Linked DNA regions of Yarrowia lipolytica. The protein of the gene in region 2 interacts with the protein of the main gene of each other region in a pairwise test. Links are inferred from orthologs where the notes say so. Each region holds a gene or a part of one and is shown on either strand. Other genes may lie near its edges. The genes, in order: YALI1_E31075g, YALI1_F03735g and YALI1_F16035g.

Evidence for each region.
Region 1: the proteins of YALI1_F03735g (region 2) and YALI1_E31075g interact in binary tests that used the Saccharomyces cerevisiae proteins (3 or more experiments, as listed by UniProt). The link is inferred for Yarrowia lipolytica from reciprocal best matches to the Saccharomyces cerevisiae genes RAD52 and UFD1.
Region 3: the proteins of YALI1_F03735g (region 2) and YALI1_F16035g interact in binary tests that used the Saccharomyces cerevisiae proteins (3 or more experiments, as listed by UniProt). The link is inferred for Yarrowia lipolytica from reciprocal best matches to the Saccharomyces cerevisiae genes RAD52 and CDC48.

The regions. Positions count from the first base shown.
Region 1 is NC_090774.1:3,105,499-3,109,884, reverse strand, and holds YALI1_E31075g (uncharacterized protein), read right to left. Parts: upstream 2,323-4,386; coding exon 1,198-2,322; downstream 1-1,197. Other genes in the region: YALI1_E31131g (uncharacterized protein), read left to right, coding at 1-755; YALI1_E31050g (uncharacterized protein), read right to left, coding at 3,234-4,386. UniProt on the Saccharomyces cerevisiae protein: Functions at a post-ubiquitation step in the ubiquitin fusion degradation (UFD) pathway. Has a role in the endoplasmic reticulum-associated degradation (ERAD) pathway.
Region 2 is NC_090775.1:371,975-376,207, forward strand, and holds YALI1_F03735g (uncharacterized protein), read left to right. Parts: upstream 1-1,570; coding exon 1,571-2,800; downstream 2,801-4,233. Other genes in the region: YALI1_F03722g (uncharacterized protein), read right to left, coding at 1-259; YALI1_F03765g (uncharacterized protein), read right to left, coding at 3,264-4,233. UniProt on the Saccharomyces cerevisiae protein: Involved in DNA double-strand break (DSB) repair and recombination. Promotes the annealing of complementary single-stranded DNA and by stimulation of the RAD51 recombinase.
Region 3 is NC_090775.1:1,600,622-1,605,901, forward strand, and holds YALI1_F16035g (uncharacterized protein), read right to left. Parts: upstream 2,951-5,280; coding exon 497-2,950; downstream 1-496. Other genes in the region: YALI1_F16045g (uncharacterized protein), read left to right, coding at 3,920-4,957; YALI1_F16058g (uncharacterized protein), read left to right, coding at 5,243-5,280. UniProt on the Saccharomyces cerevisiae protein: ATP-dependent chaperone which probably uses the energy provided by ATP hydrolysis to generate mechanical force to unfold substrate proteins, disassemble protein complexes, and disaggregate protein aggregates.

The DNA.
Region 1 (4,386 bases), on a different chromosome or scaffold from region 2:
TGCACCACAGTTCTGATGACACTTCAGACTCGGATGACTCGTCTCAGGAGATTGAGATTGTGCCTCGAGCCCGAACACAGCAGCAGCAGCAGCAGCAGCCACACGACTACCTCCAACATCGAGCCGTCGTGTTGCAGCAAAAGTTCATGTCGTGGAGTGCGACTTCTTCGGCCGTGGAGGAGGTCATTGAGTACGTGGAAGAGTTGGCTGATCTCACAGCGCTGCTTGTGGGTGTCAACAAATTCAAGTACGGCTTTCTTTCGCGTCCCATTTACGCTGAATGGGCTGCTTCGGCAGCTCGTGCTTACGACGAGGTTCTGGCTCCCCACGATCCTCTCAAGGCTGACAACGACGATGAAGAACCTGACGAGACACCCCATGAGCTACGAACGGCAGCTGATCATACTCCAGACATTCTGGATCGAGATCATATCCCAAGAGGCCTTCGAAAGCGGGTCTTTTCTGTCGTGGAACACAATGGACAGATCTATGGAGGAGGCGAGCACCAGTACAACATGGTTCCAGGCATGCCTGCAGTTGACCGAACGACTTCTAGACAGTCTCAAAAGTCAAACAAGTCGCACTTATCGCAGCCGGTTGCTCGCAAGACCTCCAGTAATGCCTCCATGCCTCCTCTTACACGACGGCAGTCTATTCGGTCTGTGGTTGGAGCTGTCAATGACAGTCCGGAGCCCGAGAGTAAGTACTTGACATTGAGACGGCGAATGGGACGCAAGATTAACAAGAAGCATTAGCATAATTATTTATTTGTTTTGACTATATGAGCATGTAGATGCCATTGTACAAGTAGCATGCCTGGGTTGTGGAGAGCAAGCCCACGAAGATGACCCAAGTGACAAGATGATAGTGAAAAAAATCTACTGTAGTGCTTCTCGTCCACAATTTGAAGCGATACATACGCATACTTACTGTAGTACCCCCAGTACATCGTATTTATTGTACAGTATTACGTATGTACGATACACTCAGCCTTCAAGGCGTTTCAGTTTCGTAGTTTATATATTTACATTTTTTAAATCAAGTATATATTATTTACAATCTACATGTACAAGTATGAGTATTACCATTTACTTCTCCTATTTTACTCATTCAATATAATAACTTGGGTTGGTTGCCCAACACATATAAATACAGATATATAAGTCTGCCTCTAATCCACAGCCGTCTTGGCCATGGTTAATCAATGACCACCATTTCGGGACTGGTGGGCTTCTTGGGGGTTCCTCCCGCAGCTCCAGCCGACGAGTTGCGCTCCTTGCGTTTTCGACTTTCTCGCAGACTCTGGCCTGTGCCCGAAAAGTGGGGCTGTTGCTGCTGCTCCTCGGTCTGTGTCTCTTCGTCTTCAGAAGGCTTGACAGGCACTAGGGGGAAACCAAAGAATAGCTGCCCAAAAGGGAGACGTAAAGGCTGGGGGTTCGCGTCTGTGTCTGTTGATCCCAGACCCACGAGCTCCTTGAAGTGCTCGTCGAGGGAGGCCTCTTCTTCAGGCTTGACGGCTTTTCCAGACAGCTTCTGGCCGCCACCGGAAAAGGTGTTTTTAGAAGCAGACTTAATGGTCTGTTGGGCGAGCTTCGAATAACCAATAGACTGGGCCATGGTTCCCGCGGCTGCCATTGGTGCAGGAGTAGAAGATCCACTGGTACCAGGTGTCTTGATGGCTCTTCCGTAATTGGAGTCACTCTGGGTGGAGGGATCCACGTAGCCCACCGGAGGCGCAAAGTCAACCTCAATGTCCGTCTCCACACAGCACACCGAGTGCTTGTCCTCCAGGTCGGGCTTGACCTCCAGCACCTTCATTCCATATGTCTTGTCGTTGTAGCTGAACTTGAACACGTCTCCGACTGTGAGGGTCGAGAAGTTCTGGAATGATCTCTCCAGCACTGCTCGGGGGTCGGAAATGTCCAGAAAATCAACGCTCTGGGGTTCAAACTTGACAAACTTACCCAGTGGCAAATCACAAGACGAAATTTCCAGCAGAGATCCAGGACCCACATCCAGAGTCTCAATGATCCATTGGGGCAAGTAGACGCGGCCCTCCTCGGCAATGAACTCCAAAACGCCACCGTACGTCACATTGTCGTTCTCCTCGCTTTTGAGCTGGAACAACATCGGGTACGAAATGTGCAGCATACTGAGCTTGGAAAGTGCCGAGGGAGGCAAAAAGATCTTGCCACCGTAGTTGGCAGACTCTCGGTCCTTACCGGGCATCATGGCGATGGGGTAACATCGGTAGTAGTCCTGAAACTTCTGGGTTCGGTTTCGGAAAGGCGTGGCGCCCCATTGTGCAGTTCCTCCAAACATGATGTGTGTTATCAAAAAGAAGGGTCCGATGGTGAGAGCTATGATCCAGAGTTTGGGGCTGCATATGACGTAGAGGTGTGCATACCACAAGTAAAATAAGAAAGTGGGTAAAGTGGCAAAATAACGGGCTGAAGACTCAAAATCAGAGAACCAATTAATCTGTGTATGTGGCGAAAAATCAAGTTACATCAAGTTACACTCCCGGCACCACTCCGTTAGGCAAAAAAAAGAGAGCTGGGAGGTTCGAACTCACGCCTCTTTCGACACTAGAACCTGAAGCTAGCGCCTTAGACCACTCGGCCAAACTCCCAAACAAGCTTAAATTAAACCTTATTTCCGTGGGGCATTTTCCCTAGAATAAAATGAATCATGAAAAATGAATCATTAGAATTAAAAAAAAAATTAGGAAAAAAATAATCTCACCCTCATCTAGAATGAAAAAAAAGCGCTGTCTTTCCTTAGTTCAAAATAATATAAAGAAAAACTGCAAGTTGGAGAAGTTAAAAATGGACGTTTAGAGGTTACGTAAGTGAGGTATGTACTATTTGTGCAGTATGGCTAATCGAAGCTGAGCCTTGCCAGCTTCCCGTTTAATACTCTCTATCCACCAATATTTCCCGTTGAGGTCCTCAATGATTTGTTGCGTGCGAGCATGTGAACCGTGAGCAACTGCGAAGACACTGATGAACACAGCTCAAATTCATCAATTTTTAGTCGCGCTGTAACGCCTTCGTATCCCCATCAGTGACTCACTCGTAATCCACCCCTTCAATTAGTATTATACTCAATAAATAACATATATACGGGTCTCCTTCAGACATCATCCTATCGTACACATCATCTTCGTCGTCGTCATAGTCGACGACATTTCTTATTCGTCACTCTTTTCGGCCCCTGTCTCTCGTCATCGTCTAGATAAATCCAAAATCCTCACCCTGTAACTGACTGGGTCGCATGTACTGAATGACTCCTCCAACAGTCTCATCAGCAACACCAATTGTCAACTGCTGGTACTCGCCCAGCGAACACGACTGAGTGAATCTGACGCCGGCGGTGCCTCCAAAGAACTCGATCGTCTGTCTGGACGTACATTCCGACCACGTATCGATAACAGTCACGTAATCGACCGGCTCGGCAATAGCAAGATATCTTCCGGAAGCATCAAAATCCACGGACCGAATAGCTGCCTGCAACTTTCCCGAAACGGCGCCGATGCATTGGTTGGACGCTCCTCGGATGTCGTACAGACGGCAAGTTCCGTCCTGGTTGCCTGTAGCCACTGTTTTGCCATCGGGAGACCAGGCACATGCAAATCCGAAGTCCGTGTGACCCTGCAATGACATTTGCAGTTTACCCGATCGCGAGTCGTAGACGTGCGACTCCTGCGAGTCACAAGCCATGACGCAGACATTTTCCGAGCCTGGGAGAAAGGCCGTAGCATTAGCAGCATAGTTGAGTGTAATGGAGTCTTTTGCCTTAAGAGTGTTCAGGTCCAGAGTCCGAAGAACGTTGTCGTTGCCTGATATCAGGGCTGAAGAGGACAACAAGGAGATGTAGTTGACCTGTAGTTCGTTACCAGACGATATCATGCCCGAAGAGAGAAACGATTTCTTTTCTGACGACGACGTTTCAGCCAACGGTTTCACCACAAACACGCCCTTTGTGCTTCCCAGCATAACCACGTTCCTGTTAGCTGCTAAGGCGGACACTCTCAATTGCTGGAGAGATGGGTCACACATTTCAGGTGATATTGCGACCGTCTGTTCGCCCGTTTCTGGATTGAGCATATCCACCTGGAAGTCATCCATATGATTGGCATTGTAGAAAACCTGCGTGGCTGAAACGGGATACATCAGGTTTCTCAGCTGGAAATGGAAAAGATGGGGTTTGGGGTTAGTGAAGCACCGCTGGAACGCCATGAGTGAGTGCTCGAAGCCTTGAATCGTTGGAGATGCGCTAGGTGGCGGACGGTAAGCCGCGTAGCGCTGGTATCTGAGTTTGCGCACCAGAGCCTTGTGGGTTGCCACGCTTTCACATACTCCGTCGGGGATGAGAAAGGAGCCT
Region 2 (4,233 bases):
TGATGACGACCGGCAACAGACCCAGTAGTAGCCAAGAGGCTCGTAGAGGTAACAGGCACCACCACCATGAGGAGTCATCTGACGACGCCAACACCCGTCGTAGCACCTCAATCACAATTCCAATCAGATAGCAAAGCGTGAACAGCAGCCGATACATGTTGCCAAATCTGTATTTCATCACCAGCGTCATGAGACTGTGGTATGGGATGGGTTCCGACCGGGCACTAGGCACCGGCATCATTCGCGATACGCTGACCATGTGGTGTGTGTATTGTGAGTTGTGTGTGTGAGTATGTGTCGGTAATCGTTTCTTCTAGTTTGGATGATGCAGATTCGTTAGTAGTAGCGGTGGTTGCGGCGGTTATGTGGTTGTTTTGGTTCACTTCTTGATCTCGCAAGCTTCCAGAATCTTTTTCAGAGGCTATCCAAACATGCAGAAACAACAATGCAGAAAGCTTGAGTAACAATCAGTGGATGGAGACAGGTTAGAGGAGAATACTTGGTGGGCGGGAGGGGGAGGGAGTGGGAAGGTGAATGGAGTAATTGCAGTTGATTTATATTGGTCGGTTGATTCATTGTCTTATTAGTTTTCTCGGCGACCCTGAAACTGCCACCTCCCACAATTTATTTATATATAGTTTCGGCAACCTCTCACACGTTATTTACAGTACTTGTATATTCAGACTACCAACTAAATCACAACTAATATCCCAACAGCGCTTACTTATCCCTTGCCCCCTCCAACGCCGCCAACTCCACTTATTGACGCTGAAGAGATACATTTTTTGCTTTATATGAAACATCGCTCCTTTATCTATCCAATTATATCCTTCTTTTTGTTACACCATTTCGGGAAGATCGAAATAGCTACCCCTAGCTGACTTCTTCTCTCAACAAATTTACATCTAAAGCTAAGTAACTAAAGTTGGTGACTAAGAAGTGGAAGTCCTTATATAGGCAAGTAGGTGCTGTACGTAAGCAGATTCTTCACTGGTGATGTTACCGCATTGTGAAGAGCAATATCTACGTCTCCCGGTCACGTGCCATGTTGTAGGGGCAATCTACGCCCGCCGCGTTCTCACAGCAAGCTTGAATTTGTAATCGAGAGAGCGTTTCGCGTGTGGACGTGTTGACACTAAAACTGTAAAATTCAAGACTGAACCAGGAACACCTCAAGAGTATTATTTAGAAGATTATAAGGGCGGTGACAAAGCTGAAGCAATGCTAATGCTCATTATTCATGTCTAACTTGCTCTTGTTTTCTCCTCACCCACCATCTTCACGCCCTCCGTACCATATCTTGCTCTCCTCTAAGACTGCATTTTTAGCTGCTTACTCTGATCATAACATTGCAGGTATTTTTCCTGCATCGACATAGACGCGTCACACCAGAGAAGTTCACCTGCAAGGATACCTGCTTTTTCGTTGTAAGAAAAAAGTGCCTGACAAAAACTACTTCCTCAGTGACAAGCATCTGATCGTAACGAAACGACTTCGTTTCCGCCGGTACCACAACACTAACCACCTTGTTTCCTAATTGCATCAAAAAACGCCACCCGCTCTACTAGCAATGCCACAGTTCGGAGACCACTACGCGCTGCCTGATCCACCCAAAGCCATCACCACGGGCTCTGGGGGCGCCCCCAACATTCCTTACTCGCGCAGCGAGGAGCGACAGGTGTCTGATCTGCTCAAACACAACCTGGGCCCCGAATTTGTCTCCAAACGGCCCAGTCCGGGAGGTCGAAGCGTGCACTACTTGGAGGGCTGGAAGGTGTTCAATCTGGCCAACGAGATCTTCGGCTTCAACGGTTGGCGGTCGCAGATCATCAAGCTGGAGGTCGACTACTGCGACCAGAACCCCGACACAAAGCGATGGGACGTGGGCGTCTATGCTATTGTTCGTGTCCATCTCAAGGACGGCACCTATCGGGAAGACACGGGGTCCGGCAATGTCGAGAACTGCCCCAAGCGAGACATGGCGCTCAACAAGTCGCGCAAGGAGGCTGTGACGGATGCATTTAAGCGAGCCATGCGTCAGTTTGGCCCCTCTCTGGGCAACTGTCTGTACGACTCGGAATACCTGAGCAAGCTCAAGACGGTGCGATCTGCCAAGTACACGTTTGATGAGAATAATCTGATTCGAAAGCCAGAATTTGTCATCAAGCGTGATATCAAGCAGGAGCAGGCCACTGCTGCCAACATTACTGCATCTACATCCACATCCACCACCTCGCATAATCAGGATCCTCCTGCTCCAGCCCCTGCCCCTGCCCCTCCTGCGCCTTCCGTCAGCCTCCACGGTCATTCAAACACATCCAGCAACCGCAGCAAGGCCGTGTCCATAGAGGCCATGTGCGAGGGCATCGACTACTCATTTGACGACGACGATCTCGACCTCGACTCCCTAGTGCCCCAGCTCAAGGCCGGACGCAACCCTTCGCCCTCCATCTCCGCTGAGGACTTTGACGAAGACCTGCCCATTTCGGCTGAGGCAATGGAGGAGGACGGATCGCCTATCCCCGTGGGCTTCTTCAAGGCCAGCGTTGCGGCAGATATCAACAAGGGCAGTCCCATTTCACAGAATGCCGCGTTTGACATCAACATCCAAAGTCCTTCCATTAAGCGCACCTTGGAGCATAATAGGAGTGTGCCTATTGCCAAACCACGTCCTCCCATGCACCCCAAGTCCACCAACATTCCCCCCAGCCCATTGTCCAAGCCGTTAGTGAATCCTGTGAAGCCCGAGTTTACCACCCCTGTTGCCAAAAAGCACAAAATTAACGAAAATGATGAATAGAAAACGAGGGATGGACAGATGGAGGGTGTATATTAGCTTCTATCAATTTGCATATGAATGGTGTACAGTCAGAGTAGCAAGTGAATTTCAAGTGTGCTGTATGTAGTCGTCCTGTACCGCTGTAGGCGACTGGACCAATAGGGATGGTGTTGTTCTGATGTCCAGAGCTACAGTAAGCGTCGTAGTTAGTTTTATTGGCCTCCAATTAATGTGTCGCGTTTTACTGTACAGATACTGGTGACTGTACTTGGCCTTCCAGTGTGCTGTGATTTACTTGCTCATTGTTTTGTTGTCATTGTCACCATCCGTTGTATTAATTTACCAGTGTTGTGGCAAGGCACTATCAACTATTTCACCTAATAATAACCCATCCATAATCTATAATCGGAGAGTCACGTCGTTCATCCAGTCTCTCTCCACTATAATTTTGTTACGTAACATTTTTGTGATGCACATTAGTCTCTTAGTCGTCGTAGTACTCGTCGTCAGACTCCTCCACGAGCTGCTCAAAGTTGACCTTGTACCGGAGCAGAGCGCCGATACCACCAAAGCCCTGGACGAACTGGGCACCCTCGGAGGACCGGTCTGTGACAAACTCCAGCTGGGCGCCAAAGTCCTTGTAGTGCTCGGCTAGCCACTCGAGCAGAGGAATCTCGTCGACCACCTCCAGCTCGTTACCCTCCTTGTCGATCAGGTATTCCTCGGTGGGAGTTCCCTTCTTGATGTGCACAATGGTCTCCTCGCCATCGTTGTTCTTGAGAGTCATTCGCTGGATGTCAAGGTTCTCGTAGACAATGACAGTCTCGCAGGCTCCGAGATCCAGGGCCTTGAGAGTCTCGTCGTAGCCGTAACAGAACTTTCCAGAGTCCATGGAGATCTCGTCGAAGTACTGGGTCAGCAGCTTCTTCTCCTGAACGAACTTGACGTTGGACAGAGTCTCGGCAGACAGCTCGATGGCCTGGTTGAAGCCGTTCTCTCCTCCGTACGACACATCGACAGTCTTGATGACCTTAGCGTGCAGACGGTTGTCAAAGAGATCAGAGCCGTTCAGCTCGGTCTTGAAGTCGGCAGAACCGGCCAGAATCAGACCGTTGACGTTGACCTTGTCGTTTGTGATGAAGTTCTGGACAGCCACCTCGGCCACCTTTCGCACGTAGTTGTGTCGCTTTTCCTCTCGCAGTCGGGAGAATCGCAGCGCGGACTGACCACCACGACCATGCTTCTTGGGCAGATCAACGGTGAACTTGTGCAGAACCTCTCGGGTGTTTCCGGACAGAGTACCGAACAGGGCTCCGTTACCGTCCATGACAATGAAGCCAAACTTGGAGTCGGACTCCAGCAGCTCTGACAGAGCCTCGGTATGGAACTTGTTGTCACACAGGTAAAGAGAGGTGTTGATGGGCTTGAAGGGCTCGAAGTCAATGGACATCTTC
Region 3 (5,280 bases), about 1.2 Mb from region 2:
CACGTGCAGCTCCACCGAAAATTCAATCAGGTGGCAAATGGCTAAATCGGCCGCTAAATCTGGGGTCAAATCGCCACTGAAACGTGGCATAAACGGCTTACGTAATCGCGAAACTGACCATAAGAAGATAATAACGGCGACAAAAAAGTCACATGAACAAAAATGGAAAAAAAGGTCCTATTGAGGAACAAGTACAGTACGAGTACAATACTGCATGTACTATACTGAAGCTAAGTAATTGTCTCACAATAAGTGTAAACTCCCAAGTGCATTACTTGGCTTTGGTTGCAACCACCAATACTCTAAACGTGTTTAATTAGTAATATTCGTGTAAGCGTACATTCATTTCAAAGGTTATTCTTTCACAGCAAAGTTATAATTAAATGAATGTATATGCAGAAAAAAAAAAAATCTAGGTACAAGTACAACCACTACATCCTATTATATATACATCCTAATATTATCATGTCATTGCTATATGCTCAAACTCATACGTCTAGTTGTACAGGTCATCCTCCTGGTCAGCACCAAAAGCAGTGCCGGCACCAGCGTCGGCGGCGGCAGCCTCACCAGCAGCGTCCTCGCTGAACCGGAAACCAATGTTTCCTCGCGACGACTGGATCTGCTGGGCATAGGCCTCGTATCGACGCAGCTCACTGTCGCTGACAGATCGCTTGGCGGTCTTCATGGCCTCCTCAAAGTGGGCCCGGGTGATGTAAGGAACAGGGTCTTCCATCTCCACGTCCTCGTTGCCGGCAGCCTCAGCCTCCCGCTGGGCGGTGATGGCAGCCTCAATGGAGTCCTTGATGGCAAACTTGGCAGATCGCTGCACAATGTACGACAGATCGGCACCAGTGAAGCCATGGGTAGACTTGGCAAGCTCCTGCAGAGACAGACCGGGCTCGAGAGGGGTCTTTCGCAGCTGCGCCTTGAGAATGGACAGTCGGCCGGCCTCGTCGGGCAGAGGCACATAGATGAGCTGGTCCAGTCGGCCGGGTCGCAGCAGAGCAGGATCAATCTGGTCGGGCCGGTTGGTAGCTCCAATGACGAACACGTTCTTCTTGGCGTTCATACCGTCCATCTCGGTCAGCAGCTGGTTGACAACTCGGTCGGAAGCTCCACCGGCATCGCCAACAGAGCCACCTCGGGCCTTGGCAATGGAATCCAACTCATCGAGGAAGACAACACAAGGAGCGGCAGCTCGGGCCTTGTCGAAAATGTCTCGGATGTTGGACTCTGACTCTCCGAACCACATGGACAGCAGCTCGGGACCCTTGACGGAGATGAAGTTTGCAGACACCTCGGTGGCAACGGCCTTGGCAAGCAGAGTCTTACCGGTACCGGGGGGACCATAGAACAACACACCCTTGGAGGGAGACAGGCCAAACTTGGTGTACATCTCGGGGTGCAGAACGGGGTACTCGACGGTCTCCTTGAGCTCCTGCTTGATGCCGTCGAGACCTCCAATGTCCTCCCAGGTGACGTTGACGGACTGAACAACGGTCTCTCGGAGAGCAGAGGGGTTCGAGTTGCCGAGTGCGAATCGGAAGTTCTCCATGGTGACTCCAAGGGAGTCGAGCACCTCGGCGTCAATGGTCTCCTCTTCCAGATCAATCAGATCCATCTTCTCTCGGATCTGCTGCATGGCTGCCTCGGAACACAGAGAGGCAATATCGGAACCGACGTAACCGTGAGTCTCGGCGGCAATGGTCTCGAGATCAACGTCGTCGCCAAGCTTCATGTTCTTGGTGTGGATTCGCAGAATCTCAAGTCGACCGGTGGGGTCGGGAATACCAATGTCGACCTCTCGGTCGAATCGGCCGAATCGACGCAGAGCAGGGTCGATGGAGTTGGGCCGGTTGGTGGCGGCAATGACGACAATGTTGGCTCGGGCCTTCATTCCGTCCATGAGAGTCAGCAGCTGGGAAACCACTCGTCGCTCAACCTCACCGTTGGTCTTGTCTCGCTTGGGGGCGATAGAATCAATCTCATCAATGAAGATGATGGCAGGAGAGTTCTTCTCGGCCTCCTCGAAGGCCTTTCGCAGGTTGGACTCGGACTCACCGGCCATCTTGGACATGATCTCGGGACCGTTGATCAGGAAGAAGAAGGCTCCGGTCTCGTTGGCCACGGCTCGAGCCATCAGGGTCTTACCAGTACCGGGGGGACCGTACATGAGAATACCCTTGGGGGGCTTGATACCAATAGACTTGAACAGCTGGGGGTGCCGCAGAGGCAGCTCGACTAGCTCTCGGATCTGGGCCATCTGCTTTCGCACGCCTCCAATATCGTCGTAGCCGACCTCGTTGAGGTTGCCCTCCTCGTCCTCTCGCTCAATGGGATCGCCCTCGCAGTGGATGACGGTATCCTGGGCGACAATGGCGTACTCCGGGGGGTCGACGTCGACAACCTTGAACTCGACTTGTCGCATACCTCCTCGCACGGTGAACAGATCGCCCTTTCGCACGGGTCGGTAAGCCTCGACAAAGTAGGGCTTGAGGAAGACGTCGAACAGCGAGCCGGTCAGACCCTCAATGGTGTCGGAGATGGGCAGACACGAAATTCGGGTGGCGTACTTGATGTCGGGGCAGGGGTGGACCGAAACCACGTCTCCGAGCCGGACTCGCAGGTTGCCTCGGACGCATCGGTTGATTCGGCACACGCCGTCCTCGAGTTCCTCGTCGGCCAGCACAATGAGCACCGTGTCCTTTCGCTTCTTGCCCTTGACCAGCACTGTGTCGCCCCGGAACAGCTGGAGCAGATCCATGGTTGCTGGCGACATGCAGATGATGGAGTTGTCATCGTTGGTGGCATCGTCCACGACAAGAGCTATGTTAGTATGATTGATTGCTTGCTGGCTTGCTTGCGGTTTTCTCTGCTGGGGTCTCATGTTTCTGCGGGCAGACCACCACATAACCCACGTTGCCGCGCCACCCGAAATACTCACCATTGTCCTTCTTTTTCTTTCGCAGAATGGCGGTGGCCAGAGAGTCGTCGGCGTTCTCGGCAGCACCGGAATTGTCGATCAATCGCTTCGATTCTTCGGTATTGTCAGTCATGGTGATGTGTACAGTGCAGAGTTAAGACAAGTGCGTTTGCCACAGTTAAAAGTGCGAGTGCCAGGACCTACCAGTTAAGGTTCGGGGTAGACAAGTAGACAAGTGTGAGAGACGGAAGGGAGTAGGAAACACCCACGTAACTGGACCGTGGAGGAATGATCCATGAGAAAGAATATTACATGGCGACACACAGCCTTATATAGATTGGCTCTGTGCAATTTTCCGTCTCTAAAACCCCCAAATCATCCCGACAACGTGGCCTCTACTCAAGACCTTCCAGTACCTTCGTCAGAGCAATTGCCTAATCTACCGTGGTGAACTTTGTCCACCCAGCCTCAACAGATCTCATCCTGCCCAGACGGCCGGGCGTACTGGGAAATGGTGATTATATAAGCTTATAAGAACGGGATGGAAGGTGTCGTGGCGTTTGGGGGGCTCTCCGTCCTCCGATTAGTCAGCAACATGCCTCTCTAGGCCCATGTCTCTTGGGAGACCCTTTCGACCGCCCTCCTCCCCTCCCTCTCGTACTGTCGTCATAGTTGCAGCCGATAAGCCAACTAGGGTTCAAAATGACAGCTCACCATGGAGCTGCTTAATCAGCTTAGTCAGCTGTGGGGGGCGGCGGGGGTCTCGTGGAACATGTGGATTTGGAGGAATATAACCGAGTCCGGATTAGTCACGGTGGTCCAGGGTCATGACCAATTCTCCGACTCCTTGTCAGCTTGCCCAATCCACCTTATCACGTGATCTACAAGTAGCTCCCTGTGCGTACACCATGCATACATTGCCCATCCTACTTATTTACATCCCACCAGTGATCGGACCATTTCAATCGGGCAATTTTCTGATTTTTTCGCCGCATGACTTCTTTCTTTGTGTCCACGTTCAACTGTGGCAAGCTCACCCAGGACACGCAGTACTACCAGCATTTGTCCGCCGAGTTGGCAGGGATTGATGCGCCCCATGTCTTGTTGTTTGGGTATCAGGAGCTGTGTTCGATTCCCGATGGGTGTCTTGGATATGCGGTGGATCCGCTCAATGATCTGATTCAGCAGGTTCTCAAGGCGATCAGGGACCAGCCGTGGCTCGAACGATACGTGGTGGTTGGTCAACACACGTTTGGAGCCATGGGTCTGGTGGCAATAGCGTCGGCAGATGTGCTTGTCACCGACGTCAAGTTGTGCCACGTGGCGTGCGGCATGTTCTGGTCGTCGCTCAAGGGCGCCGTGGGTCTCCGACTCAATGTTGATGGCAATCCCGTTGTGTGTGTGGCTGCGCACCTGGCGGCCAATGAGGGCTTTTTGGAGCAGCGCAACGACGATTTCGCCACCATTGCCAAGGAAATGAAGTTCCTCGACCCACGCACAGGCATCTACGATGACGCCACGGTATTCTTTTTGGGTGATCTCAACTACCGAGCGTCGGAAAACGAGCAGGGACTCGCTGACTACAAGGTGGTAGACGAGCTGTTTTACGCCATGAGGTCGCTCGATGCCTTCTGGGACTTCCAGGAGGCCGAAATCGGATTCAAACCAACCTACAAGTTCCACACCGGAACGTCCGAATACAACACCAAGCGAATTCCGTCCTGGTGCGACCGAGTGCTGTATAGAGGAGCAGTGGTGCCCCGGAAATACGACTCGATCCCCGCCGTCATGTCTTCAGACCACAAGCCCGTGTACTTGTGGGCGTCGGTGAAACTGACCCAATCCACCGCTGTTGAGCAGGGCGATGTTCCTCCTCATATTCTGTCTGCTGCCCACGTTTCCGAACTCTTGCATATCCGAACGTCGATCATGGACTACATTATTGCGCTGGGACTGTTGGGTTTCACCACGAGAATGGGCTGGATTTCCATTGCGGGTTTCTTGTTGTTTGCGTGGGCGTTGTATAGGTAGTGTGAGCGAGTGTGAACGTGACCAACGTGAACTTGGCCAGCGTGAACTTGACCAACGTGAACTTGACCAGCGTGAACTTGAGCGAGCGCGAACCTGCGCCAGACACAACACTGTCTATTTCATCTATTTCATCTGCTCTGCTGTCACAGTTTACTCCACCCCACCCCACCCCAACTACAATAACTACAGGACTATGATTCAGCGACCGGCTGACAAAATATTTTATTTAATCATTACATTAACTGCACGCACGGCAGCGAGTGTATCAGGGCAGGGCGGTACTTGATGAGGCCACTTGGAGGTCTTGGAAATGCTTTGACAGA